Coturnix japonica: one gene and its partners. The protein of the gene in region 6 purifies or fractionates together with the protein of the main gene of each other region. This does not show direct contact. Links are inferred from orthologs where the notes say so. Each region holds a gene or a part of one and is shown on either strand. Other genes may lie near its edges.

Region 1 (5,247 bases), on a different chromosome or scaffold from region 6:
TGGCCAATGTCATGCTGCAAAAAGCGGTGCAGAGCAACAACTGTGCAACAACAAGCAAGTTTTCCAACAGTCTGGCCATTAATTGCTGAGCCAGAAATTGGTACAGCGCTGTCACACTGCAGTGTGCGCACTGGGAATGGGCCGGGGAACAGCATAAAACAAAGCCCCATACACAGACAGTGCTGGCGGTGGCACAACTGCTTCTGCTTCTCTGGGGCCTCCTCCATCCTTGCACCAAGTGCAGGCTCTGCAGAGGATTCGGTCACGGAACAGGGCACTAGCACAGCTCGTCTGCCCACAGCTACATGGGATTTACCACCAAGCAGGTCTCATTTAAAAGCAACTTACATCAGGGTCCAGCTCTTCCAGTTCATTCTCCAACTTCCTGAGCTCCTCCTCTGTCAGGGCTCCTAGGATCTTGTCTTCATCCAGGTCCCGGTATTTCTCTAGCTCCTTTCTGTAAGACATCTTAAAGCAGTCTGTTGAATCTCACTCCTGTGCCGAAGCAGGACCTGAAATGCAAACACAGAGCATAGCACTGCCTGCATGAAACATGACCCGGCAGCCCTGCTGGCGGGGGAGTGCTGGCTATCACAGAGTTGCACAAGATTTATGCTCTAAGCGTGGCTATCTCCAGAGCTGGGTCAGATTGCTCAGGGCCCCCTGCCCATTTCCATGGTGCTGGACGCACCTCGCCCTGTGGTCTTGCAGTGTGAGACACCTCTGGGTGGGATCGCTGCACTGCTGCACCCCAAAGCCCACCCTTTGGGCAGTGCTCAAGGAGCCCCCTGGAGCCCCATGGCCATTTTCTGGCTCAGACCTGCAGAGGATACCAAACTTATTTAAAGCAAGTTTTCCTCAGCAGGGCGGTTTCTCTACACAACTTGCAGGGCAGCTGCTGTTCCAGATAGGAGAATTATCTTTAGCTTGGCCACAAAAGGGCACATTAACACGTACACAGCTCGATGGCAAGCCCTTAAATTTAGAGCCGACATCTGCTTGGATGCTCGGCCTCTCCTGGCAGGGCTGCAGTCCCCGCATTCCTGACACTCAGCACCTGGGGCTGGGGAATGATGCCTCACTCGTGGCCGCGCCAGCAGGCAGCTCATCTCCCAGCACATATTAAGCACCCACCTGGGGCAGCTCTCCCTGGCCCTCACCAGGGAGTTATCATTACAGCACAAGAAACACGGCGTCAACCAGCACCTCTGCCACTACTATTGGGAGGGACTGCAGCCACCCACAAAGCAGGTCTTCCCTGGTTCTGCAACACGTGGACAACTGCTGACTGCTGCTCACAAGGGATACGAATGCAGGTGTGCTGTCATGGGGATGAAATGCAGTGTAATAGCATCACACCTGGAGCCAGCATCCCCTCTTGGGCAGACCTGAGCAGGGTGTCTGCTGGTCCTGCAGGGGACCATGCCCACACTGTAGGTCTGTACTGCCCACAGAGGTTATTCCCCTCCAGTGAGCACCAGTGGAGCTGCATCTGTATTCTGCATCCAGTGTGATGCCTGCAGCACAACAGGGGTCTGGGGGAGCTGAAGGGGTACAGAGCAGGGCGCTACGAGGAATTCTAAGTGGGGATCTGTGAAAAAATCCTTGCCACAAAGTGATGCAGATCTTGGACAGGGACCAGATAGCTGGTGGGAGCAGCACTTGGGTTTGCAAAACTCACCTGGAGAAGGACCTGAGCAGCTTGGCTGAGCTTTGGGACTGGGCCCAAAGCTCAGGAGGATGACAGACAAACAGGTTCCAGAGTTGCCTTCCCATCTAACATTTCCACAGTTTGGCCTTAGAAGAATTCACAGGACTGTACAGCTGCCCAGATGCCTCCTCCCAAAGCCAGGATGGGAACTGGGCTGCAAACTGATCCCCACTTCTGACAAGAATAAAACAACTACCTTCTACATCCACTTCATTTACCCCACTGAAGCAATGTTCTTGCGGCTGTGATTCACATCTGAACTCACATGCTGGTTTAGCTGCCTTCCCCAGCAACACGCTGTTAAGGCACCACGAGCTCAGCCATGGTTGAAGGTCACCTTGGCTAAGCCACTTGCTCCTGCAGCAGCGTGTAACCCAGCCTCCAGGAGGCTGTTATCCTATCTTGCTTTGCAGCTTTCTTATGTCAAGAAGCACGTGTGCAGCCTGCAGAGTAGCCAAGCACCACAGAATTATGTAGGTCTGGATAAAAACTTCAAGATCATCAAGTTCAATCATCCCAGTTCTCAACAGAGCAGAGCACACAGTGTCAAGGACACCCCTGCTCAGTGAGCAGCGTCCATCAGGCACATCTGCATCCTGGTGATGGCATAAACTCAGCCCAAGATCTGCATTTCCTCTGGACTGACAAAACCTTTATGGCCAGCAGCTGTTAACGTAAGGCACAATGTGAAGACTTCAAGATATTTGAAAAGCAGCATCTGGAAGGCATCATTTTGGACCTGTCAAAGCACACCTGTTCTTCCCAGCCCGCTCACTGCCTGCAAGCCATGCAGCTCAGCACTGGCTCTCATTAAGCAGCCTTCATTATCAGCACGCTGTTAATGCAACACAACCGAACAGGCAACACGTGGTGGGGTCAAACTCTACCCAAGTCCCATCGCCATCCATCTCAGCGCCACCGCTGCCTCTGCGTACACCTCAACACGGCTCCGTGTCCTCCTCCTTAGCGCCAGGCTCACCCGCTGTTTCTTAAATGCTCGAGCATTTAAGAATACCCACGACAAGCCCCGGCTCACACCTGAGTCACAATCAGCGCCATCCGCTCAGCTCCAACTCTGCAACTGCAAACGTGCTTCGGGAATCGCAGCATCCTCCGACCCGCGCTGCCATTAACCCCGACGGCAGCATCTCGGACGGGCAGAGCATCACCGCACTGCGGGCTCATCCCGCACATCCATCGCCGCTGCCCCAGGGAGCAGCGCCGGTCTCCGCAGCGTGTCCGTCCCCGGGGGCTCCAGATTTACCCGTTCCCGACCCCTCAGGAGCAGCAGAACACGCGGGTCGGGCTGCGAAAGGAGCGGCGCCCTCCGAGCCAGCACGGCGCGGCGCACCCGGAGCGCACGTACCGCAGGCACCGCACGCGGAGCCGCCTTCGCTTGTCGCCCCGCCTCGCTCCGCTCACCCCGCAGCCCGGCCGGCACCCAGATGCGGTGCCGGGCGCTTCTCCTGCCCCGCCGGGCTCTGCTTGGCGCACAGCGGACGGTCCATGAGGGCAGCAGCGCAGCGATCAGCGCGGTACGGCGGGGAGGAGGATCTTTCACACCCGCCTCCAGCCCGGAGGAGAGGAGCACAGCCCCCGCTTCCTACACATCCCACACAGTCTTAGAGCCTGCGATGAAACACACACCTGGCTGCCCACAGACACCATTGTGCCTCAGGGCACATCTCTGGGTGATGCCTTAGAATATTCTTACCCTTAGGGGAAACAACAACAACCCCCAGCCCAATATTTTGGAGAAAGCAATAGGAATGTGCTGGTTTGAGCACCCCAAGCCTGCTCAAAGTGCTAGGTGGTATGGTGTACCAAGAGAAGGAGCAGCATCCAGAGGTAAGAGGCAGCACAACAGGGAGCAAAAAGCAAGAATAACTTTGAGAGCAAGGAGATCAACGTTGCAAACAGCCGACTGTTGAACAAATACAACACATTAAGGTATTCTGTTCTCCCTGTCACACTCTGGTCAGACCTATTGTAATCAGAACAAGCAGCAGCAGCAGCCCCCCAACTGGCTGCCCCTGTTTTATAGCTTTCACATGGCAGCACATAGTACAGGGCATCCCTCTGGCCAGTGTTGGGCTCTGTGCCCCTCCAGCTCCCTGTGCCCCCTCACTGCTGGGCAGCACCAGGAGCTGAAATGCCCTTGTCTCTGTGCAGCGCTGCTCAGCAACAGCGAAACAGCATTGTGTTATCACACTCTTTTCATCCCAAACCCAACACGCAGCAGCTGTTATGAAAAAAATCAGCTCTATTCCAGACCAAATCAGGATGCTCCTGCATGCACAAAGTAATTCTGTTGAGTTTGCTTATACAAAGCAGCTAGGAGTGAAGACTTCAGACTTCACCCATGCAAAAGCAATCATGCTAAACAAGTACAGTCCTTGCTTCTTAAGGCTGTTCAGATTCCAGAGCAGCCACCAGCTACAACTGGGAGTGGGGGGGGATAAGAAAAGAACCTCAAAAAGCATCTTCATTCTCCTGAAGATCTGCCAGGCTCTTTCCAAGTGACAAAAATTCTACTCAAAACAATAAATCAGGGAGAACCCAGCAATGGCAATAATCATGCTTTAATAGCCACGAGATGAGAAGCCCACCAAAATTAAGGGGGAAAAAAAAAAAGCCTCCAGAACAGTTCAGCGCTGTTCTACTGATAAATAACTTTTTATTTATTTAGTATTTCCACCCAAACATTCTGGTATTACAGTAGTAAACTGTTATGGTTTTGCAATTTGGTTGGTGTTGGTATTCCACATCAGAACACCATGCTAATAATGGGAGTAAAGGGGACAAGTTTTTTTTCTGTGAACTGCCTTAAATGGGCATGTGGGGGGTGGCACCAGAAGGGAAGTGAGGAAGGGGACGGGGTTGCTGGCCCGGCTCCCTGCGAGGAGACAACGTGTTCAGAGCTTCCTGCCTTCCACAGCTCCATCGGTGAGATTGGGGACTTGGTATTCTCTTTGAAACTCTCTTGTTGTTGTTTAGTGTTATTAGGTTATTAAACTGCCATTCGTTCTCAGATCACCTTTTTTTCTCTCCTTACTTTTTGTTAGACTAATCGCAATCTCCCTTCCTTCCCCGTCTTCCTAAACACACGTGGCCGGGCCGCCGCGATTGCCGCTAAGAGAAAGAGGGGGGGGGCTTTTGTTCCTGCTGCCGGGTTTGTGCCCACTGTCCCGGAGTGAGCTCTAGAGAGAACTCCGTGACATTTTTGTGGAGAATGCGGCAGAGCTCGGGGCAATGTTTTGGGCTAATTAGGTGGTTTTTTTCAGCAGCCCTGTATGTAGGACTGATAGTCCCTAGGTTCCTGTGGTCCTGGCTTAAGGACTTCCTGATGTTGGGGGTAGGGGTAGATTTATTAAGCCGATGGCTGGCAGGGATAGAGATATCTGCCTGGCTCCCTTCCAGACTAACGAACATCACAGGCACCGTGCTTGAACTGGCTCACGAATGCTCTGAATTCCTTAAGTATGACTGGGTGTCAAATGGGAACTGTTTGTAGTCTCTCAAATTGTAGTAGTTTG
Region 2 (5,117 bases), on a different chromosome or scaffold from region 6:
GGTAGCTACAACTTTTCTCGGACAGGGAAACACCTGAAAAACTGCAACCTGTCTGTGGAGGAGCAAGGACTTATTCCGTCCCCGTTCGGCCGGCACGCAGTGCCAGCAGCCGTCCTTGGGTGATCCCGGCATGGCCGTGCGCTTCCCCCGCGGGTCAGGCTCGGGCTCGGTCCGCCCGCAGGCAGTGGGAGCGGGGTGCCGTACCCCCGCCCCGCTCCCGGTCCGCCTCCGCCACACCGTGGGCGGGCGCGGCGTTGCCCCGGAGACGGCGCCGCGGGGGCGGCCGAGTGCCGGCGGCGGCCCGGAGAGGAGCAGGGAGAGGAGCCCGTGGAGGAGCCCGGAGGCGGCCGCACGGCGCCGACCCGCACACACGGCCCGCCGCCCCCCCGCGCCGCCATTGCCTATTATAGAAGCGCTTCCGGCGGCGCGGGCCGCTCTGACATCATCCCCCGCACCCGGTGACGTCAGCGCCGGGAGCAGAGCGTGACGTCGGTGCGTAGGGAGCGCGGTGACGTGCGGTACTTAAAGCTCCGCGGGCGGAGGATGGAGGCAGAGCGAGCGGCTGCTGCCACCGGCGTTGGCTGCCGGGCGCTGTGGGGCCGCGGCCGGTTCCGTTCCCGCTCCTGCCCAGGTTCCCGGTCTCAGCCCCGGGGCGGTGGGTCGGCTGCCGGCCGGGCCTGCCCACCGCCACAGCGGGCGGAGGCAGAGGTGTGAGGCGGAGGCGGGGATGCGGGCGGCCGCAGGCAGCGGCTCGCAGCAGCCGGGCACCGCCTGACGCGCTGCTCGCTCCCCCCGCGTCCCCCGCCCGCTCCCTCCGTCCCTCCTTTCCTCCACCCGGTCCCACCCCGCTGCCGGCTCTGAGCCCGCGGCCCCGCCGCAGCGCACCCTCGGCCGGGCGGCGGCCGCCCGTCCCGCCCCCCGCCCGCTGGCAGCGCCCGTCCCGCCGCGCCCCGGCGCGATGCCCGCCCGCTGTCCGCAGCAGAAGGCGTGACGGCCAGGCGCGGACCCGCCGCGGGAAGGAGGAGCGGCGCCCCGCGTCTCCGCAGCCGGGGGCGGGCGGGCGGATCGCGGCGACCCGGTGCCCGCCGCCTGCAGCCCGATGCCCGATGCCGGTGCCGCGGCTCGCTCTGCCGCCTCGGGGAGATGCACGGCTGCCCGCCGCGCTGCTAGGGGGAGCGGCGGCGCGGAGCCCTGAGCGCACCGCCCGCCCCGTCCCGCTCCGCCTCTGAGGCGCCGCGCCGAGCGCTCGGTGGCCGCGCACCGCCCGGCGACAAGCGCCGCAGCCGCCGCCAGCCCCGCGCGGAGAAAGGGGAGCGCCTCCCTCTCTCGGGCCCTCCTTCTCTCCCTGCCTCCTCCCACCCGCGGTTGGGGATCCGTCCGCACGCCGAGCCGCCGCCACACGCCCGCTCGGGGGCCGGAGCCGCTGCCTGCGGACGCCCGGCGGGGCCGGCGGCCATGCGAGCCCGGCCCGCGGGGGGCGCTCCGTAGGGTGCGGGCGGCTCGGCTCGGCTCGGCCGCTGCCAGCCGGCGGCGCGACCCGCGGGCCTGCGCGGAGTGGCGCGGGAAGCCCGGCGGAGCTTCCCCACCGCCGCCACGGGGCTGCGGAGCTGCCGGCGCGGCGAGGCGCGGCGCGGCGAGGAGCGCCCCGGGGACGCGGCCCGCGCGGTACCGCCGGTGCCCGGCGCCGCCGGCCGCCATGGGGTAAGCACCTCTAAGCACCTCGCGGGGCCGCCGGGCTGCGGCGGGGCGGGGTGGGGTGGGGTGGGGGCGGGAGCAGCGGGGAGCAGCGGGGAGCGGGTGCCGCTGCCATCGGCGCTGAGCACGGATGCGGGGCTCTGCCCGCCGTAGCGCCGAGTGTCGGATCCGTGTCGACTGCCCGCCGGGTCCCTGCCCTGCCCGGTCGGGCCCGAGAGCGGTCGGCTCGGGCTCGGTGTGGGGAGAGAGCTGCAGCGCGGCCGGGGCTGGTTGTCCTGGAGCCTTCGGGGGATATCGGGCGTGTAAGGTGCCCACATGTGAAGGAGGCTTTAAAGAGATCCGCTTCACAGCGCGTCCCCCGAACGCGTGGGGACATACGCCCGAAATTTTAAGGAGATGGGAAGGAATTAAATCTTCAAAATGAAGCTAGCTGCATCAGGTCTAGGAGACATAAAAGTGGCATAGATACCTGTGGAAACTTTCCACGTTTGCAATCTCGCCTTTGTACGGAGAGATGATGAAATAACGCTTACTGCTGTGCTTGCCTGGTAACCTCCGGATGGAGTGGAAACTCGTCCATGTTCCAAAGCAGCAGAAGCACAACGTGATTTGGATAACCGCAATGTAGAGGCAGGCTTTTAATGCATCAACAAGACTCTGGTTTTCTGAGACCGCTGTATGTAGCTCAGTGTGTAAGAGTTGCAACTCGAGTCGTTTGGTTTTGGGTCATTCAGGAATTTGGGTGTAAATTAGCATAGTGCAGTAACGTGGAGCTGCAGGTGCATCGCTCCTCCAGCTGTCAAAGGCACATGGAACTCTCCAATGTACGAACCTGCCTGTGGTGGCGGTGGCAGCTGTTCCCCAGCACTCCGAGTCAGCGGGGCACGCTCACTGTGCAAGGTGTAGAAAGGAACGTCTTGCTAGTCTTCAGCTTTTATTTTCCATTAAATATATATACATGTATATATGTACAGAATAATCCCAAGCTTGCAGTTGTCTGCATCTTCAGGGAAGTGGTCATATCTTCTGGCTAAAGGCTGAATGGTAGTACAACATTTGGGGGCTTTATCCTTAAAGCTGCTGGACAGGCACAGAATTTTTCACCTTTTAAAATTCGAATGATGGGAAAAGATAACATTTATTTAAAATCAATGTTATTTGCAGGCATGCTGTTTAGGTGTAGCTTGCTGCAAATGCTGAAAAACATTGAGTAATAAGCATTGTTGCATTGTTTTTTCTCTAACAGAGCTTTCTGAAGACAAATGTCTGATTTGGAAAAAAAAATATATATATATATATAAAAAGATTGAGAGCCCCCTCCATTTAATAAACTTAGTGCTGCTGGTGCATGAGTGCTGCAGTTTCTCAATGAACAAACTGGTATCTGTAGAGAGTGGTGAAAAGGCTGAATACTGAAGAACTATGCAAAAAAAAATATTTGGAGAAATAATGCAGGGATGTTTTTGTGATGACTTCAGGGTGATATCCTGGCACACTGAGGTCAAGATGGCAAAAGTTGTTGGCTTGTGTTTTGAAGAGCCTTCAGACGATGCACGTTGAGGTATGGCAACTGAGTTCCTTTGCAGACAGTCTCTTAGCAAGATGGAGATAACCAGAAATCTGAGCGTGTGTTATTGGTGGCCCCCCCTGCCATGCAAGTCTGGGGGAGCACATCTAAGCCTGTGCCAACCCTCTAGACCTGCAGTTATGTACTGGGCATTTGCTGATGTTCAGAGTCTTCTTTCAAAAGCTGTTTTGAATTAGCATCTAAATGCAGTTCCCTATGGATTTTGGGCTATTTTGAGACCAACGTGTACTAGAATCTTAACACTGCAGTTATAAAAATAGTCTTCTGATACTCTGTTAAGGTCTTAAAATCAAGCCCGTTAGAAGCAGGTTGGAAAATGACTGATAATCATGCGTTCATCCATGTGAGGACTGCTTCAAAAGTAATGCCTTCAATTTTATTCTGCTGGATCACGGCATCAAGGGCACGTGTCAGTGGTATGGCAGGAAAGCTTGAACTGTCCCCCTAATAATCCATTCCATGTTGTTGCTGTGCCAGATGGCAGTAGAGGGGCGGTCTGACAAAATGGCGTCTGACATGGAAGTGTGAATGAAGTGAAGGTGTGGCATTAAATTCCCCCATGTGGAAAAGGTAGCACCCACTGACATTCACAGACACTTGCTGGAAGTTTGTGAAGAGCAACCTGTGGATGTGAGCAGAGTGAGGCAGTGGGAGGTGTGTTTCAGCAGTGGCAGTAGTGGTGTGAAAGACAAATCGTGCTGGGGACAGCTCTGCACAGCTGTCAGACCACGAAATGAAGAGCATCTTGATCTGCTGCTCCGTGCAGGTTGGCTAATGGTAGCGACTGTGCTGAAAAAGTGCATTTTATAGAGAAAATGTTCTCTATCAAATGGAGTTCTTGTGCTCTTTCTATCTGTTGAGGTCCCCATGGAAATAAATAGAATGCATTACTTTCGGAACAATCTTTGTATATTCGGTTGCTATCATGCATGAGTTCATATGGTGGATCTGTAGTATCTGGATGGTGGAGAGTTTGCTTTTATCCATGGTCTGGGCAAAGAAAAAAATGGAACTGGGTAGAAATAATAGCTTAGCTAATCAGCAATGGCTGTCTTACTTTATGGGTTATTATAAAGAATTCCCTGTTCTGCCAGTATAACTGACCCTGCTTGGCTGGTTGAGTACCATCTGACAAATGAAGCAGCTGAGTGGTGCATACCTAGCTGTACATTGCTGGTCTCTGAAGTTGTACTGCAGTGAAATACTTGAAGCTGCAGTGAGAAACTTGAAGCTTGAGAACAGCTTATCGGGTTCCTTGTACTTCATCCCTGATGTATGTGTGTGTATCCCTCTTGACTAACAGGAGAAGGTAAATGAAGCTCCAGGGGCAGTACACGTCTGCTCTGGTTCCTCTACCTGCCACTCTCATTCCCTCTTCTATTTTGTCCTTCCTGTTGCATAAGAAGTTCTGAGCAGTAGTCACTGTCAGTGCAGGCCATTTGTCAGTGCGAGCCTTTCTCTTGGATTGCAACCACTGGATGACTGTTCTTCAGTAAAAAAGCCTTGACTTTTATATAAATCAGAACTCAGTATGTTCTGTGCTGGTTCATAATGTGTTGCTTTTGTATTGCCAATACAAAAGTATTGAGCAATAATAATAATTTAAAAAGGAGGTAGTATTGTACAGTTGGTCATCTTTGAGCAAAGGTTTGGTTATTTTAAAAATCCCAAAGAAGCAGATCTCAGGTAAACATACTAATAATGTTAAACTAATGTATACACAGCTGATTTAAATTTTATTTTGGAAGCTGCAAATTACTGCCTTATTTTACTGGTCATTGGCACTGCCTTTACTTGAGCTGGTGGCAGGGGATTTGGAGGTTGATACTCATGG
Region 3 (4,556 bases), on a different chromosome or scaffold from region 6:
AGGTCTTGAGAGCCCAACAGCCACGTGGTGTAGATGAGCTGTCGTTTTCACTCCAAGATTGTCCTGGGGTCAATGCTTCACCTAATACCATTGACCAAGAATTCTTTCTCATTCCTCCTCATCCCATGTGATGAGTCTCAGAACACCTGTCTGGCACATCTGGGTGTATGTGTTTGTGCATAGAAAAGAGCTGAGCCATGAGTCCCAGCCAACCTGGATAAACTAAAATCTGTTCATCATAACAGAGAATTCAAAATGATCTTGTTGTGTACAAAATGGGCATCAGTGCTGGTAGTCTGACATTTCTCCTGTGGTTCTCACCATTTGAAAGGCCTGATCAAGATTTGGGAGTTCATAGTAGGATGAATGAAATGTTCCTTGCTTCCAGGCCTGGCTGCAGGCTGTGGAATCTGCTGCGGGTGGGAATGACGGAGTTTTAGTAGCTTTCCCCAGCAGGTGGGGCTGCAGGACTGCGAGTTTCGGGAGGCTGGAGGAAGCAAATAGAACAGAGGCTCTGCTGAGGAACATCTGCTTATTTTTATTTCACTATATTCTGCTCTTCTCCCTCTGTGCTCTTTTCTAGATTTGGAGAATAGAAGGCTCAGAGAAAGTGCCAGTGAATCCTGCAACATATGGCCAGTTCTACGGTGGGGATAGCTACATTATCTTGTATGACTACCGGCATGCTGGAAAGCAGGGGCAGATCATTTACACTTGGTAAGAAAGGTTGCACCTTTGTGGAGCTGTGAAGTCTGCTTCTTTGAGGGTGGGTCATCCATATTTCCCTCTTGTAATCAATCAGTCTGACTGTCTAAGACAGTGAACTTTGTTTTCATGCTGAATGAAGTGCTGCTGAGGTTTGATAGCCCAGAAGTGTTTCTTACATCTTGATCTCTGTAAGGTGCATGTGCTGGGGAAAAGAACCTCACGTTTTTCCTTGTCTTTCAGGCAGGGTGCTCATTCCACTCAAGATGAAATTGCGACTTCAGCATTCCTCACAGTGCAACTGGATGAGGAGCTGGGAGGCACCCCTGTGCAGGTGAAAAACAACAACAAACAAAAGCAAATGTTAAAAAAAACATGAAAACAGACAGAGAAAAAATAGGATAAAATCAGTTTTCACAAGCCTTGCAGGTGGCAGCGAGCTGTCTGCTTTCTAGTGTTAAGAACTCTCAGAAATTAACAGTCTGCATTTCACATGAATTAATGCAACATGTTGGCAGCCAACAGGACTTGCTAGGAGAAGCAGAAAACACGCTGGGTAGATTTAATTACAATTTTTGCAAAGGCAGCTGGATTGGTGAAGACTATAAACTCCATAAGTTCTGTAAGGAGAGTCCAGCCAGAAATATGGCAGCCAAATCTATTTCCAGCATATGTTCTGCTTCTCTTCATCAGTGCCTTAAAGCTGACAGCAGGTTATCTTTTTCTTTAGAAACGAGTAGTGCAAGGAAAAGAGCCACCTCATCTGATGAGCATGTTTGGTGGAAAGCCCTTGATTGTTTATAAGGGTGGAACCTCTCGGGAAGGAGGCCAGACCACACCGGCACAAACACGGCTGTTCCAGGTCCGGTCCAGCACCTCGGGAGCTACCAGAGCTGTAGAGGTATGTGAAAAGAGAGCCAGCTTCTGTGTTGTATACATAAACTGCAGTGGGGACACAATCTCTCTGCGAATGAAGGCCAGACTGAGCTTTCTGATGTAAACTGTAACAAATGTTTAAACCTTTAGAAACTGTTAAAAGATGTCTCTTTTCTGGTGTATAAGTGCTGACAGTCATTATGATCTTTTCAGTTTATAAATATCACCTCAAACACACTGACATGGTTCTCTCTTAAATCCACGGTAGATGTTACACCTGGCATAAAACAATGATTTTCAAATACTGTTTGGTGCTGGATATTGTGACTTGTTCTAAGCTTGTGTGACCACACTGTTACCAGTGGGAGACTGCAAGTGCTAAAGACTCTAAACAAAAAATAGAGCCTGTGCCAGGGTACAGGGTGAGAGCCCTACTGATTTGAAAGAAAATGCACAAATAGCGACAAACATTATGCTAATGATTCGTCAGCCTGAGCAGCAGGGATGGAGCTCTAGGATAGTCTCCCCAGCAAGTTCTTCTGTATCCTGACAGAACCATAAAGACTGGCAAAATGAGAGCCCCCAGCATCTGAGCAGGAAGTCATATGTATCTGTAGACTGTATAAAGAAGCACAGGTTCATTTACTCTTCTCATATGACTAAGCCTGACTCATTACCAGATACAGGCAAATATACAACATATATTGTAAGCCTACACGCTTGCATGGAAAATCTTGTTTGAAATTTGTTTAAGGATAGATACTAACTTTTATTTTGAAATTACGGGCTCCACACAGCGAATGATAACATCTCACACGTGCAACTTTCTTTTTTTTCCAGCTGGATCCTGCTGCCAGTCAGCTGAACTCCAATGATGCTTTTGTCCTGAAAACTCCCTCTGCTGCTTACCTCTGGGTCGGCCGAGGCTCCAACAGTGCAGAGCTGTCAGGAGCACAAGAGCTGCTGAAGGTTCTGGGAGCTCGCCCAGTACAGGTTTCTGAGGGTAGAGAGCCAGGTGAGGGACACACATGAAGTCTGAGGTCATTTCTGTGTAGCTGCACTTTCTCAATAGTTATTTCCTGGATGTTTTCTTTTTGTCTCAGAAAATAGAAATGTGAACGTGATGCAGGGTGGCTTCTCCATTCATAACGTTTAACAGCAAAGCCATGTTTGTAGTCCTCTAGGACTTTCTGGGAAGAATGCTTCAAGTCCAACCCAAGCCATACTGCTACTGTGTTTTCCAGCTATAGTTGAGGCAACAGTGTATCTTTTTCTTTTCCAGATAACTTCTGGGCGGCTTTGGGTGGAAAAGCTCCCTACCGAACCTCTCCTCGGCTGAAGGACAAGAAGATGGATGCTCACCCCCCTCGTCTTTTTGCCTGCTCCAACAAGAGTGGACGCTTCACTGTGAGTATCTGGGAAGACAGTCAATTAATTCAACATTCATCTGACAAAGCTGAGAGAAACTTAGTCTGAGTGTGCCCTGAGTCAACTAATGAGCTGCTACACCCAATTTTCCTTCGTAGTGTTGCCTCCAGAAGGGAAAGTATTAGCACCATTTATTTTTTTGTGCAGAGTTGGCAGCTACCTCTATAGCAACTTGCTGAACCATTAGACTGGTCCTCCCCTGGTTAAACACCAGCATTCCAATTCCTAAGATTTTAGCTCATGAATCTTTCAAGAAGCAAGAGGCAGCATTAGAAGTTTTAAGCGTGAATGAAAGGCTGACAAGAGGTGAAACTGGAGCCCTGCTTCTTCTTGCAAAGGTAAAGTGACACTTGCAGAATGTCCTCATCTTTTGATCCTATGTTTTTCAGATTGAGGAAGTCCCTGGAGATCTGACTCAGGATGACCTTGCTACCGATGACGTTATGATCCTTGACACATGGGATCAGGTGTGTCATGTTTACCTGTCAAGCAGAGAAGCAAAGAATACACACAATGTAGCTCTAGATTTAGAGATGCAAATTAAAATCACAACAGAATTATGAAGTTGTAGAGTCCTTTTGCCTTGGAGCCTGAGAACAAATCACCTCACCCATGCCACTAAAGAGAACTTACACCCAGAACCTCTGTTAGTTGCTGTGCATGACTCAGCCAAAAGTGAAATTAGAGATGAATTCTGTTTTATGTAAAGATGTTTAAACATCAGTTGTTTTTTCTGATGTTAAGCTTGTGTGCAACTTGTTCATGTGATTAGAATTTACAGCAGATAAACTGCCGTCAAAAAGCTTCCTGTCATCTACCAGTAACTTTATTTGGGTGGGTCCTGGCACACCAGGAGGAATACGGTGCTGTTCAGTGTTGTACTCAGTTCACTGAGCCCTTCTTCTCTTTCATGGGCACATTGGCTGTTGCTGAAACAATTAATGTGGTTTATTTTTTTTAATCTATAGGTGTTTGTATGGATTGGAAAAGATGCCCAGGAGGAAGAAAAGACTGAGGCTTTGAAATCTGGTAATGCCATGACGTTTTTCCTTCTGAAATAAATGTGTTTTTTTTATTTTCCCACTATCTGATTTTTAAGTCAGACAATTAAATATACTGAGGAATGGATCTTAATTGTAACATTCAGTGTTGAGATCAAAGTGATCACATAGACTGAGAAAAGAGGATCCCAAAGATCAGCAGAAGAAGGTATGGTATTTAGACACTGTGCTCAGACCCTAACAGCATCCCTGTGTGGGTGGTACAGACTGCAGTTATATTGGAGCATTTTATGGCCCTAACGTGTTTTCTCCCCAAGAATGCCTTATTTGTCAATTAATAATTAATTAAAACCTTATTTGTTTTAATGAAAAATCTGAAATTGTATTTCTAACATCCATCTGCTGCTCCATAAGATTTGTGCTTGATGAGATTTTCTTCTCCTTGTGCCTTTACAGCTAAACGATACATTGAAACCGATCCTTCCAGCCGCGACAAGAGAACTCCAGTCACGCTGGTTAAGCAAGGGCTTGAGCCTCCAACCTTCT
Region 4 (4,556 bases), on a different chromosome or scaffold from region 6:
CACAGCTCAGGTGTACAGCAGCATTTTAGGGTACCAAATCCACAAACAAACCGCCTTCTTGAACAAGTATTTGAAGACTTGAAAGTGAGGTTTGAAACAGCATTTCTTAATGACAAATGAAATCACAGAATGAGCTCTGGAGCATGATACTAATATACGCCATTAAATTCTCAAGTGCACAGTAAGGGATTTTACTATGCATTATTATTAAACTAATTCCAAAGCCAAAGTGCAGCTTTATTTAGAGTATGTGCTTTAAAAATATAATGATATTTAAAAAAACAGAACACAATCCTTACTACTTCTATTTCAAAAACAAACACAACAGCTTAGTTCATTTGTCACCAGTCTGTCTACTAACAGATACATTACAGAAAGAGCAGACTGCAAATAACCTATTATTATTTTCTATTTAGTAGTTCAAGTACAACTACAGGATGGAAAAAGGAGATTTTCTAGAGCAGAAGACTTAATGATGCTTGCTTCCTATCAATTTGCGTCCAACATATATATTCCTCTCCCTGCAGTCCCATTTTCCCCAGCTTATTTCACCACCATGCCATCCTCATCACAATACCCTCATCTTTTCCACTCAATTTCTTCTATGCACTCAATTTCTTGGCCTCCTACTGTTTCCTAAGTGCTATTCAAAGTAGTGCAGGAATCTGGGACTAGACTGAGTTTGTCCTCCCCCAGTTTCTCCTAGAATCTGTTAAGGCTGACTTCCCTTTCCTCCCATTCTCACTAAGAACGAAGTCATTCTCAGGTGGGTCACAGATCCACAAACGCCAACTGGTCTGCCAGCAAACAAAAACGAATAAGCAGCTGGAGCTCAAATTGTCATCTTTCTCTCTATGATGACACCAACAGGGATTTCTGTCCTATGTTGTTCTATTATTTCCATGAAGACTGACAGAAAGTCAGGCAAATAAAAAGCACAAAAATGTGAGCTTTTCCTTTGACTGAGCTAGAAATAAGCTGGACAACCTGCGCTCCATCCAGACTCACAAACAGCTTCAAGGAAGATGTTTCCATATTTTCTTTGGCAGAAAGTGTGGTGAAGGTTGGGGAATGCTTCATTCCCCAAATGCTTCTCATTTAGGATTTGGATCAAACAGTGATCAGCCTGGTCTAGTATTAAATGTGAAGGTTGGTGGCCCTGCCTGTGGCAGGGGAGTTGGAGCTTCATGATCCTTGAGGTCCCTCCCAACCCAAGTCATTCTATGATTCCATGATTATTACATACAGGAGAGTGATCAGGCGACCATGCAAGAAAGATCCATTCATATCCTTGAGCATTCTGAGAATCTAATCTGTATAATATGTAACACGGTTGCTTGTCTTCAAGAAGAGGAAGAACAAAAGCATCATAATCCTTTTCCCATGATCCAAGTGGCCGTCTAGAGGATCCCAGAACAAGTTGCTCTAAAACCAATAACCAAAACTACAAGTTAGCAATTATATAGCTGATAATGCTTCTCAAAATCAGTTATTAATTGTAATTAATCAAACGCTTCATATTCTGTAACCATGCCCACAAGAATGAGAGTCAGGAGCACTCAGTGCAATAGCAGGTGAGTTCCTGATAAGCTGTGTACGCATAAACCCTAACTTACTTTAACCAAAATGCAATTAGTTGAGGAGCAGTACACTGGCTGTCATCAAGTTCTTTGATCTGAAGAGGTGTGACTGATATCAGTGTTTAGCGTAATGTGTACAGAGAAGAAACAAAAGCTGCCCTTTGCTAGTTCATTTATTTTTAACATGAAATACTTAAGCAAAAATAAGATGAGGGTAGGTTTTTAAACATTAAAATCAGAGTTACTGATGCTTTAACACACTCCAATGTTTGTACTCACTGAAAGGAGACAGTTACTCAGTTGCATAGTTAAAAGAATTTGGAATGAACATACTTGCAGTAATCACTTTAATTTGACTGTGTAAGTAGATAAACCCCTTTCTAATACAGCTTCATAACTTCAGTCTCTTTAAATTACTGAAGTTGTTTATTGTGTATAATTGGCTTAAGTCCATAAAGAATACTTCAGATGAGATTTAATTATGTGAACAACTGTAGCAACAAGATTTCTCTCTTACATATAAATCACATCTCAGCTTCCAAAGGAAAATACTATTCAGTATCTTCCAAACATTTACCAATTTTCAATAATTCACAGCCAAAGGAGAAACACCTTGTTTATATGGTTCCAACAGCAGTTCAAGGGCCCATAGCAGTTGGTACATATAGTATCTTTTGACACATACAGACAAATTGTGTATACATATATACACACACAAGCACATAGAGAAAAAAGTTTAAGATAAAAATGGAAGACACTCCCTACTTACGACCTTCATTTTGTACTAGGAAGTATCAGGTACACACAAGCACACTGTTTTAACTTTCCTAATAAAAAAGAATATATGTCGAGACTTAGTAACCTGCGCTGCTGAGACGCTTTACTGCAGTGATCACACTGTATAATAGCAGTAGCTTTAATGTTACTGCCGCTACCTTGAGAAAAGCAGGGAAAACTTAAGCAAACACAAAGAAGATAACAGCAGGTTACTTACCTAACAATAAATGTATGTATGTGTATGCATGTACGCATAAACCTTCCTCCTGCTAACGGGTTTTTCAGTGTACCATAAATGAATGAACTTTGGTAATGATGTGGGCATTTCATGTACTCCTATCTGAAAGGAGCAGTGGGTTTGGGGAGAATATGAAATGACATTTGGAAGAGGTATTCTAACTCAATAATAGCGCAATGAAACCTTAAACATCACCACAACTCAAACTCTACCTTCAGGATATGAAAGACCTCGGTGACATTAAGCTTGGGAGTGTTCTTGTTTTTGAAAGAAATTGTACACAAAAAAATCACTCAAATAGTTATGAAAATATCCAAAAGAATCAGAGAAAAATAGTAACACTTGACTAACCATTGTCAATGACTATTTTCAGAATCCTGTACTTTCCATTTCTGGCTCCAACAAAGACGTCTTTAACATTCTCACTAGCTGAAAAAGAGAAAATAAAAGTGAGCTAATGAACACATTTTTCTTTCCAACAACAAAGAGCACTCACGAAGGTAAAAACAACACTGGAAAAGCATACACCTGGCCCATCGCTATGATGTTGGACTGAAGAAGGGACACCGGAGCTGACAAACGCCGTTCCAGCCACAGGCATGCCACAGAAAGATCACAGACAACATTAAAACATACTGCAGAACAGCCCTGCTTACTTGCAATACCGTATCATTTTCAACATGGTGAAAATTAAAGGTGACATCACATTGTCGCTCTCAGGTTTCACAGTTCACACAGTAACGCAATAGAAATACAACGCATCTCAAATTACAGGAGCTTCATGAAGTCTGAAAGTTTGCAGCGGGCCTGAGGAAACAAACTTGATGCCTGCCAGGAAAACATTACAGCCTGTCTGCAAGAATCACCTGCCTTTCCTGAGGATGCCTCTCTGGAGGGTACCAAGGAAGGCTGATGCTCTTTGTTTATCTTTTCTATCAAGCTACATCCTTGCAAGCATTCTGATGATACTTTTCAATCCCTGACCCATCACAATAGGGCAGATTAAATGAATTCAGAAAAAGTAGCTAAAAATACTTTCAAATCATTCTAATTCACATTGACATTACAACACCAGAATGACAGACCCCTTCTGTAAGCACAAGGAAGAACCACGCTCGAGTCCTGCAGACAATACTCTAATTTCAGCTGCTTAGCAAAGTAATCCTTGTGCGGATCAGTTTAATTATACCCCAGACAGGGGGCTGTCCTGCATTTACTGACAAACAATTGTTGCAAGCTGGTCCTTTAAGTAATCCCCACAGCACTGAGGACAGCACCCGCAAAGCAAACAACAAACCAGGAAACAAAGAAAAGGGATTATTTATAGCCCAGGCCGAAGGAACAGATGGCTTCTGTCCATATTCAAAACATGTAAAACTGAAGTCCATAAAAGCAAAGGGCAGGTCCATTCTGGAATTCCAAAATGGGCTGTGGGATAGAGACAAAGTGCTGCCATTTACACAAACACAACTGCGTTGGGTTTGCAGTCCAAGCCCACCTTCCCACTCAGCAGTTATCAGCTTTTCTGACCCTCTCTGCCTTTCCTCACACCTCCATTCAACACACAAACACCACTTTCCAGACTTCCCAATTCCCCTGGAAACCACTGTCCTCTTCAGGTCTACATTCCCTTGTTCTCTGTACTTCTATATCAAGCCTGCACACCAAAACAACACCGACACAGCAGCCCTTTGCACTGACACCAGAACCACAGCAGCTCCTGGAATCATTTTCTGAGACAAGACAATATTGATGGAGAAACAGTCTCACTATCCATGAGATACACTTCCACATACAGAGGTCACAAAATTCACAACAGAGGAATATCGTGTTGTATTTCAACTTTCTGCAGAGCAAAGACCTCAATTACAGTTTGGTCTTGGAATCTCACTGGCCAACTTGCAGTTTAATTTCTTTTCTAGAAAACATTCATGATGAGAAACATGTCAATTCTCTCCACC
Region 5 (3,585 bases), on a different chromosome or scaffold from region 6:
AAGCCACTGTTCAGATTATTCTGGCAAGGAAGAGAATTGCATCTAGTACCCGTGGGGAAGTGTCTAAAGTAAAGTGACCTCTGTTCCTGGTTCTTGACAATGGAGATGCACAGTGAGGTCTGTGACTACAACAAAAAGCAGGGCACAGCAAATGCATACGAAGTACTGCTGGCCTCAAGGTACGCTGTGTGCAGGGAAACCATGTTGTGCATCCTGTCAGGGAGCTGGCAGCTTGGCAGCTCCAAGTTTCCAGAGGCAGACAGCACTGAGTATGGCAGGCTTCAGCTCGAGGGCATGAAATACATATAGGAATAGAAGAGGCTTAATAGCATAAGAGCCAGGTCTCACCCTGCACTGCTGCCTGACCCTGGTCAGGGCAGGTCATGGGGGGAAGCAGCAGCCAGCAGGTACTCTCTGAAGCACCGTGCTGCAGCTTGCATCTGCCTCTCTCCCACACAGTCATGCAGCAGCTTGACTCTGGTCCTCTCCCTTGTCTCTTAAGAGCAGCCTCCCTCAGCAGAGCTGACTCACCCAGGTGTGGCACAATGGCCAGGTCAGCCCTGATCAATGAGCAGTACAACACAGGCATGGGCTCAGATGCAGAGCACGGGCAGAATCTGTATCCAGCTCCACCTTGTGGGGCACAGCCATGGAAAAGAAGTGTGAGAGAGCAGGGACAATCAGAATGTCAACTTTGGCTTAGTTTTTCTTTCATACTCCAAACCCCACCTCCATCACCACATATTACAGTAACAGATGCAGACAAAACAGGCATTTCTTGGAGCTGATCTCTATTTCAAAGGCTCCTCCTGTTGGAATAAAATGTGAACACTGCTATGGGTACAAGACCCCAGAAAACTTTGCCAGCTTCTTTCCCTTCTTAAATACCCTGAAACAAATATGACTACAACAGCTCCACCCCTACACAGCTGTGAGAAAACTTCATGCAAAACAAAATAAAACAGAAACCAATACCAACAAAAACAACAGAATATTAAAAAGAAAAAAAGAAAAGAAAGAAAAAAACAAAAACAAGAAAATTATCCTCCAAACAGAAACACCCCTCCCTGGCTACACAGGTCTGGAACTTTCAGTGTTTCCTCATCATCCCTGTGCAAGGGATGGGCTTTGCCTAGACACAATCCAGCACAGAGTCACCAGCAATTCTCCACTCCAGCAGATTCCCAAGGTGCCAGACCCAGTCCTGTCCCAACTTGCAGGCAGTGTGCAGAAGATGTGGGTTCCTCTCTTGGTCACCCCGTGAGTGAAAGGACGGGGAGGCCCTGCCTTGATGCTGGTCTGCCCAGGACCATCTGGATGCAGAGAAGGCATTACATGGCAGCCAGTGCTTGCTAAGTAATTACAGTTTCTGCAGACCTGGGAAACATTCCCAGGGTTACTGCTGTCTTTGCTTAACCTATGGAAGCAAAGAGGGCAAAAAAACAACCACAAAATCCATATCAGCACTCCTGTAAGGTTACTATCTACTTCTACACAGACACTGCTTTGTCATTCAGCACAGGGCTATGCATGCTCCTAACTAACTACGGGGGCTCAAAGGACACTATGAGAGAGACATGATTTTTCAGGTTTCTGCAGTGTCTCCCTCAGGCCTTGCTTGATTCCTACAACTAGACAACATCTACGGTAACCCACAGACTTCCCACAGGCCCCACAGGGCACTGGTCCCAGCATGCTCCAAATGCCTCCTGTTCTCATTTAATCTGGCTAAGCGTGGCAAGCTGGGACCTGTACCCTTCAAAAGGAACACTGCTCATCTGACACAGAGCAGGACATCTCTGTGGACTGTTTCCCTATAAAAGAGAGGGGGAAAAAAAGAACCCAAACAAGAGCAACTGTGATTTGCTCCATTTAATTTCAATTAACTACAGCCCTTAGAGGCCAGGAGAGATGCCAATCTAGCAGTTGGTTGGCCATCCCCTTGGGCATGTCCCATTTCTCAAATGCCCCTTTCCCAACCAGGCCTTTGCTCTCAGCTTAAAGAAGTTTTAAGAATTCATTAAATCCCACTGTGTTAAGCTAATAAGAGCTTTAAAACCTGCAGTTCTTTTTCCTCTGGAGGCTGGAACTGAACAGCACTTGGGCAGGCAAGCACCCTGCTCTGCAGTGGTGACTCCGCTACCTCTGTAAGCTCCTGACAGCAACCAGTGTTGTTGCATCCTGTTAGAAAGACATGATGTAGTTAGGGCTGGAAAAGGAGCTAGTGAACTCCTCAAAGTGCTGATACCTCTTTTCCCTCCCTAAGTCGGGAAACAAGCAGCTTATTTTGCAAAAGGCAAGTGGTTCCCTAAAAAAACTACTGAAAAAAAAAAAATAAATGCAAAGGCTGCTCAGCCCCTTCCCCTAGAAAACTGTAAAAATGTTGGAGACACAGTGAGACACAGTGTGGCAGCAGGGAGGCTGGGAAGGCAGCAGAGGGACAGCTGCTGTCTCTGGACCGTGCCACAGCCATGACAAGGTCCAGAGAAGCCTGACTGTGACTTGTAGATGCTTCCTGTGGAGGATACAGGAGCTCAGGCCCTCTCTGCTCTCCAGCTCGTTGTTCAGTGGGCAGTAAGTGGCTGCGGCTGGTCACCACACTGTCCAGGCAGCTGCTGGTACGTTGGCATATCCTGCCCAAACAGACCTCAAGGCTGTTCTGTGATCAAAATTGCTGTCAGTGACCAGTCCCAGGTCAGGCTCCCCTCCTCCGGAGGTGTCTCCTCTGAGCATGCTGCTGCTCAGTTGCTCTCCACCAGCTTGGCTAGTCCTTGCCGGATCTCACTGAGCTCAAAAATCTTCACGTCCATTATCTCTGCCACCTTGGTGACCTCATTCTGGATCTTCTCCCTCTCAGACAGGGTCTCTGCCAGCGTCTGCTCGGCCAGGTGAAGGCGGCGCTCCAGCTCTGCATTGCGTGCCTCCAGCTCCTGCCAAAGGACACAATTGCAGTGAGGTGGCTGCCCCGGCACTGATACGTGCTACCCACAGATCACCACACTTATCTCCACCAAACAGTTCCATCAGCATCCCAGCACAAGGTTGCCCACACCCAGACATCGCAGGTCTGCATCAGCTCTCTCAATGGGGGCCCTCCCTACATTCAGCCACAGCATGCAAACACATATGAACATGTGTCCCCAAACCCAGTCATCTGCATGCAGTTTGAACTGGTGTTATAAGTGTGGATTTCCTCACAAACTGATCTTCAAGAGTGATGGCATCTGATGGTTAGAAATACTATCCTGGCATAAAAAGCAGCGCCTGGGTACAGGGCTGAGCCCTGTGACAGATCCCCTCCTTCTTCACTAGCTCAGATAAGCAAACGCAGGCAGTGCCCCCAGAGACTGCACAGATCGTGCTTCCATCTGTGTTCCTGCCCCGAGGTGCAGAGCAGCTTGCATCCCTCCTGCCAGCCAGATTGAGCCATAACAATTTTCCCTCAGCCATTGCTGGCCATCCAGCAGGCTGAGCAGGACTTGAGAGATGGGCAGGTCACAGGATACCACCATCCCACTTGTGTCCCATGCCAGGTCTACAGCAAGAGGTAGAAGAGAGTATGTGCAGGTTGGGTTTGTCACTGCC
Region 6 (5,340 bases):
GTGCTGGGGCCGTCATGGAGACTGTTCCTTGGAAACCATTCCCCGCGGCTGGGAAAACCCTCTCGCACCCCCGCTGTGCCCCAATGAGCCCACCCGGGGCTCCACGGGACCCCCTGCAAGTCCCCAAGTGTGGGCAGGCAGCAACGTGGGGGGAGAACGCCGTGCCCTGAATCGGTCCAGGGCGGGTGGGCGAGGGGATGGTTGTTGCTAAGCAACCAGCATCCTCTATCTCCATGGCAACCCCCCATCCCAGCTGGGATGCAGCTCGCCCCGATGACGAGGTGATTAGTGGAGGGGAGCGGGGGAGGCAGGCAGGCAGCGGGGACCTGGCGGGCGCCCAAACCCACCACCATCACGCGCTGTGCCCGGGGAGCCGGGGCCAACCGTGCCGGACTCCCCCCCCAACCCCCTCCCAGATTATCGTTTTGCTGGGTGGGCGGGCAGCTCTGCCGATCGGCAGCAACACAGAGCCAAAATCCCTGCGGTGCTGGGGAGGGAGGAGCCCACCCGAGTTGGTGGCTTCCAAGAAGGGGATAGGGAGCGAGGATGGGAGATGGGGAGTGAGGATGGGAAGTGGAAGTGGTGAAGGAAAGCAGGGATGGGAGCAGGAATGGAAAGCGGGTGCCCCCCATGGGCAGAGCCCCGCACCAGAGCCACACAGCTCCATCCTGGGCCTCAGCTGCCTCCTTCCAGCTGAGAAATAACAGGAATTTAAGGCCTTGCCTAACAAAGAGGGGGAAACAAGGCTCCCTCCGCCCTGCAGCACCCGTAGCCCCCAGTCTCCCCCCAGCCCTGCTCTCGCAGTGAGCTACAGATAATTGCACCAACAAGATTGACTTTAATCCGCACATCCAAATCCCGCTAATCGGCCGCCTGAGCCGACGCAGCTCCCAGGCTGGAGGCAGCAGGGAGGCTTCACAGCGCTGAAAAAGGCAGCTTTTCCAGCCCTGGCTCTGCTCTGTTCCCCCAGGGACAGGGCTGCAATGTGGGGGGCTGCAGGCAGGACCGTGGGGTTCTTAAGGCAGAGTGAACAGGATGCAAAAGTAGGGCACAGCCAAGGCATAGCAGCCAGAGCACCCGCTGCCTGCTGCCCACCCCCTCATCCCCCTGTGTAGGGCAGCACCCTGAGCACATTGCTGCTGCTGGCACCCAGAGGTGCTCCTGCAGCTCAGCACTGCGGGTTCTGCCCTCAGAACAGCCTGTTCCAGCACCAGGAGGGACAGTTCCAGTGTTCCCAGCCCCACACAGAGCCCAGAGCATCACCATGAGCAGGGACCAACAGCACCACGACCCCACGGACCATCTCCTTCCATGCTTCCATCCCCCCATGCAGCTTCCCCAGCACCCGAGCTTTGACATCACCCATGGGTGACACAGGGACAGGCAGGGAGCAGGGGATGCTTGTGACCTGAATCTCCCCATCACTGACAAGGGGGCAGAGCCCACTGCCCTTCTGCAGCCTCCATTGCTCTGTGCCAGACCACAGCGGTTCTCCCGCAGCCGTCTGCCCCCCATGCAGGGTCAGGAATGGGGGGGTGCCCTATTCTGCCTGCCCCAACCCGGGCACATGTGTTTCCAATGTGGCTGCGAGCTCTAGGGAGTCGGCGTGCTCAGAAAGCAGCACCAAATTCCTTTCCTATCGAGTAATGGGCCCCAGCAGCCTCCGCGAGGCTGGGGAGGGGGAGGGGAGCCTCGGACCCTCCAGGACTGGGCTGGGGCGGGGGAAATCCCAGACTAAACATCCCGTGGCCACGGGGATCCCGGCATCCCCCGAGCCAGCTTAGAGCCGCACAGCGCAGCGTCCTCAGAGCCCCGGCTCGCCCTGCCCAGCTCCAACATTTGGGGACAGTCCCCCAGCCACGATGGTCCCCCAGCACCGCTCCCCATCCTGCACCGAAGATGGGCACCAGGCCCTGCAGTGGAGATGCTGCTCCTGCTGGCGCTGGGCACCAAGGGTGATGGAGGACTGGAGGAGATGGGGAGCACGGGGCTCAGACACAACAAAGGAGCTGCGGGGTTCAATACTGGAAGAGGGGTGGCCCACTCCCAGTGCTCGCCTTCCAGGGAATTGATTCTGCTGCTCTCAGCAGCTTTGGCAGGGAACGATCCTTTGCAGCAGATGCTGGGAAGCCAGATGTACCCGGGGCTGACAGCTGCCTCCTGGCCACCAACACGCTCCGCACTCACCCACCGTGCCACCAGCAGGGCTGGAGGGACCCAGAGAGTGGGACTGGTGGGGGGGGGCCATGCTCAGGCCCAACCAGCGGACACCCAGCAGGAGAGCAGCACTCAGCCTGGCAGGAGCTCAGCACGCATGGCACGCACCAGTCCCGGCTTCTGGGGTGCGCACAGCACCCCCACGCGACCACCCAGGGGACAAGGGCAGGGGGTCCCAGAGGGCAGCTGGGCGCTGGGGGCGGCAGCGATGGAGCTGCGGTGGGATTTGCTCCCTTATCAAAGCTGCATTGTAGCCTGGAACCACCAGGCCCCCAGCACAGGGTGCCAGAGGGATCAGGGTGCAGGTGGAGCACCCCAGAGTGCCGCCACCCCCTGCTCCGCTCACCGCATCCCAGCCCCGGGGCACCCCGCACGGCCCTCCCGGGGACCGGGTACCCAGCGCTCCCCCCGGGGCTGCGGGAACCGGGAGCAGCGGGGACGCCAGTTCCCTCACAGCTGCGGGCCTGGCTCCGCCGAGACCGGGCTAAGGGCTCCCCGTCCCCGCTAACCCACCCCCGGTTCCAGACAATGGCAAAACTCCACCGCATCCCAGTACCGGGCCCAGCACCGAGGGTCCCCCAGGCCCTCCCCACCCGCCGCTCCCCACGCGCGGTGCCGCCAGCAGAAAGGAGACGGGGCTCGGAGCGGGGCTCCCGGTGCCCCCACGTGCCGCCCGGCGCAGACAAAGCGGGGCCGCGCCCCGGCCCAGTGCGATGCGGTGCGGTGCGGTGCGGTGCGGCGGGCAGGTGCGGGCACCGGGGGCGTTGGGCCGGGCACACCTCCTCCGCCGTCCCGCCGGCCCCGCCCGCCTTTGTGTGCCGGGGCTCCGGGCCCGGTGCAGGTGGCGGGGGGCGGCGGGGCGGCACGGAGGGCGCAGCGCGGGGCGCGGTCCCGGTGTTGGCGGCTGCGTCGCGCTCGGTGCACCGGGCGGCTCCGCGCACAAAGGGCCCCGGGCGGCGGGGACAAAGGGGCGGCGGCGGCGACGGGCGCGCTCACCAGTCGGTGGGGCTGTCCTCGCCGATCACGTCCTGGTAGGAGGCGAGCAGCTCCAGGCGGTGCGCCGCGAAGCCGACGCCAGCCATGGCGGGGCCGGGATGCTGCCGGGGGACCGGAGGGACCGGCCGCCTGCCCGCCTCCGAGACACTGCCGCAGCGGCCGGGCGGAGGGGCGAGCGGCGGGGAGGCTCCGCCCGCCGCCGCGCCCGGTCCTAGCGCCGCGAACGGCGGGCCCCCCCTCCGCCCCGGCCCCCGCCGCTCCCCCGGGGCGACCCCTGGGGCACCCACCCCCACCGGCACCCGCCGAGGGGCAGAGCTCCTGGAGCGGAGCGCGAAGCTCGACCCGAGGAGCCGCTCTGCACCCCCGGCTCCAAATCCCGGCTGCGCTCCCTCTGGGCACCCCGAATCCCGCGGATGCGCCCTCGGTCCGCTCTACCCCGGGATCCCCGTGATCTCAACTTCCCCCACCCCGTGCACCCCCGGCCCTGGAACTTTCTTCTCCGAAGACCCCACACTGTCCTCTCTGCCCCGTTGTGCCCTCAGTGCTCCAGGCCCAGCCTTTGGGGTTGCCAATGGGATGAAGGGCTCCCCTCCATCCCCGCTGCTGTCAGATGTGTCCCTCTGCTCCCAACCCACCCCGGGCCCTTCCAGCCCTCGACGCGGACATCATCTCCCCCAGGTTGTGCCTCTGCATGAACCCATAAAGTTCTTTCCAAGCTGCCCCCGTCTGTGGTTCCGAGGTGCAGCCGTCTCCATTTGCTCCCACACGGGTCAGCACCCTCCTGCGAGGGACAGACACGGAATCACCCTGCCCGCCCCACGTCTCCAACCCAGGCAGGAGCCGGGCCCGCAGCAACCCGAGCAGTAAAGTGGGTTTAAACACGGGGTCCCGATCCCTGAAGGTCAGGGCACGGTGCCGGTGGGCGCAATGTACAGCGGGACGCAGCGTTTCGCTGCTCCCTGCCCACGCCCTGCTCGCAGCGGTTCCCGATCCGGAGCCGCCCTGCGATGCTGCGGGGTTTGGGCAGCAGCTGTCGAGCAGCTGCCGGCCGCGGCCGCTCCGCGATGGGCTCAGCTGCCCCTGGGGGTGGGGGCGGCGCGGGGAGCCGCGGGGCTTTGTTCTCGGAGCGGCGCGGCCCCTCCTCGGGCTCCACCTCCGCAGCCCACCCGCGACCCTCCTTCCTGTGCGCGGGGAGGGCGGGGGCCGCTCGGTGAGGCCGGCAGAAGGGAGCGGAGGCTGCGGGTTGCGGAAGGGCAGAGTGCGGGGGGGACTTGGCCACCTGCAGAAGGGCGAGCGGGGGTTCCTGCCCCCGGCAGAACGCTCCAGCGGATGAGCGAGGCGATTTTCCATACATCGCTCATCACGTTGAGGGCTGCAGTTATTACTGACCGCTGCAGCTGTCGGATCGGAGCGCTGGGAGCGGCCGGCCCCACATCCATCGCTCCAGAGCCTGTACCGGGCGGCGGTGCCTCCCGTCCGTCCTTCGGGGCACGGCCAGGACCGCTGTGCTCCAGCTGCTCGTGCCGGTGACTCGGTCCCTGCACGGGCAATGGGGCACAGCAGGAACACAGGGACGGTGCTGGCTAAGTGCGATGCCCTTGCGAGGTCACGGCTCAGCACCATCTCCTGCTCAGCGCTGCTGTTGCTCTGCCCCCTGGATTAATTGCTGCCTCGCTGCTCTCTGCTTGCTAAAACCAGGCAAGGGCAACCCAGGGATCTGCCAAGGTGCAAAGGAGGGGAAACCCCGGAAACAAAGCAGGACTCCAGGCGGGACAAGGGCCATGTGTGACCTTCCTGCCCCCACCAAACCGTGCCCAGCAAAACCACAGTCCCCAGACAGCGGGCACTCGCAAAAAAGTGTTTATTCAAGGCACTAAAAGCACCGTGGCTACATCAGACGCAGCCCAACTGGAAAGTGGGGGGGTTGGGAGAGGCATTTACAGTGCTGGGACAGCAGTGGCACACGCTCTTTGGTAGAAAGCAGTTTTCAAGCCTGATGGGAACCCATTAGCCAGAGGCTGGTGTGCACCCCCAGCCTACAGCGGGGGCAGGCATGGCACACAGTCCTGCTCCATGGCACGGGGGTGCTGCCATAGGCAGCCCCACAGCCCCCCTAGCTCTGTGACA

What was found.
Region 1: the proteins of DBN1 (region 6) and TMOD1 purify together in Homo sapiens (co-immunoprecipitation; 3 studies listed by BioGRID and IntAct, with this or other methods). This does not show direct contact. The link is inferred for Coturnix japonica from reciprocal best matches to the Homo sapiens genes DBN1 and TMOD1.
Region 2: the proteins of DBN1 (region 6) and HOMER1 purify together in Homo sapiens (co-immunoprecipitation; 3 studies listed by BioGRID and IntAct, counting the BioPlex papers as one, with this or other methods). This does not show direct contact. The link is inferred for Coturnix japonica from reciprocal best matches to the Homo sapiens genes DBN1 and HOMER1.
Region 3: the proteins of DBN1 (region 6) and GSN purify together in Homo sapiens (co-immunoprecipitation; 3 studies listed by BioGRID and IntAct, counting the BioPlex papers as one, with this or other methods). This does not show direct contact. The link is inferred for Coturnix japonica from reciprocal best matches to the Homo sapiens genes DBN1 and GSN.
Region 4: the proteins of DBN1 (region 6) and TWF1 purify together in Homo sapiens (affinity purification with mass spectrometry; 3 studies listed by BioGRID and IntAct, with this or other methods). This does not show direct contact. The link is inferred for Coturnix japonica from reciprocal best matches to the Homo sapiens genes DBN1 and TWF1.
Region 5: the proteins of DBN1 (region 6) and HOMER3 purify together in Homo sapiens (co-immunoprecipitation; 3 studies listed by BioGRID and IntAct, counting the BioPlex papers as one, with this or other methods). This does not show direct contact. The link is inferred for Coturnix japonica from reciprocal best matches to the Homo sapiens genes DBN1 and HOMER3.

What each region holds. Positions count from the first base shown.
Region 1 is NC_029547.1:62,602,581-62,607,827, forward strand, and holds the start of TMOD1 (tropomodulin-1), read right to left. Parts: upstream 3,095-5,247; 5' UTR 3,078-3,094; intron 805-3,077; exon of another isoform or gene 692-804; intron 645-691; exon of another isoform or gene 513-644; 5' UTR 469-512; coding exon 349-468; intron 1-348. UniProt on the Homo sapiens protein: Blocks the elongation and depolymerization of the actin filaments at the pointed end. The Tmod/TM complex contributes to the formation of the short actin protofilament, which in turn defines the geometry of the membrane skeleton.
Region 2 is NC_029547.1:12,909,908-12,915,024, reverse strand, and holds the start of HOMER1 (homer protein homolog 1), read left to right. Parts: upstream 1-1,637; 5' UTR 1,638-1,696; coding exon 1,697-1,701; intron 1,702-5,117. UniProt on the Homo sapiens protein: Postsynaptic density scaffolding protein. Binds and cross-links cytoplasmic regions of GRM1, GRM5, ITPR1, DNM3, RYR1, RYR2, SHANK1 and SHANK3.
Region 3 is NC_029532.1:6,892,432-6,896,987, forward strand, and holds part of GSN (gelsolin), read left to right. Parts: intron 1-583; coding exon 584-717; intron 718-948; coding exon 949-1,039; intron 1,040-1,435; coding exon 1,436-1,606; intron 1,607-2,421; coding exon 2,422-2,596; intron 2,597-2,863; coding exon 2,864-2,988; intron 2,989-3,398; coding exon 3,399-3,476; intron 3,477-3,977; coding exon 3,978-4,038; intron 4,039-4,466; coding exon 4,467-4,556. UniProt on the Homo sapiens protein: Calcium-regulated, actin-modulating protein that binds to the plus (or barbed) ends of actin monomers or filaments, preventing monomer exchange (end-blocking or capping).
Region 4 is NC_029516.1:27,268,109-27,272,664, forward strand, and holds part of TWF1 (twinfilin-1), read right to left. Parts: intron 3,025-4,556; coding exon 2,947-3,024; intron 1,426-2,946; coding exon 1,247-1,425; intron 1-1,246. UniProt on the Homo sapiens protein: Actin-binding protein involved in motile and morphological processes. Inhibits actin polymerization, likely by sequestering G-actin. By capping the barbed ends of filaments, it also regulates motility.
Region 5 is NC_029543.1:2,761,132-2,764,716, reverse strand, and holds part of HOMER3 (homer protein homolog 3), read right to left. Parts: intron 2,931-3,585; coding exon 2,742-2,930; 3' UTR 1-2,741. UniProt on the Homo sapiens protein: Postsynaptic density scaffolding protein. Binds and cross-links cytoplasmic regions of GRM1, GRM5, ITPR1, DNM3, RYR1, RYR2, SHANK1 and SHANK3.
Region 6 is NC_029528.1:11,963,791-11,969,130, forward strand, and holds the start of DBN1 (drebrin), read right to left. Parts: upstream 3,410-5,340; 5' UTR 3,300-3,409; coding exon 3,214-3,299; intron 1-3,213. UniProt on the Homo sapiens protein: Actin cytoskeleton-organizing protein that plays a role in the formation of cell projections. Required for actin polymerization at immunological synapses (IS) and for the recruitment of the chemokine receptor CXCR4 to IS.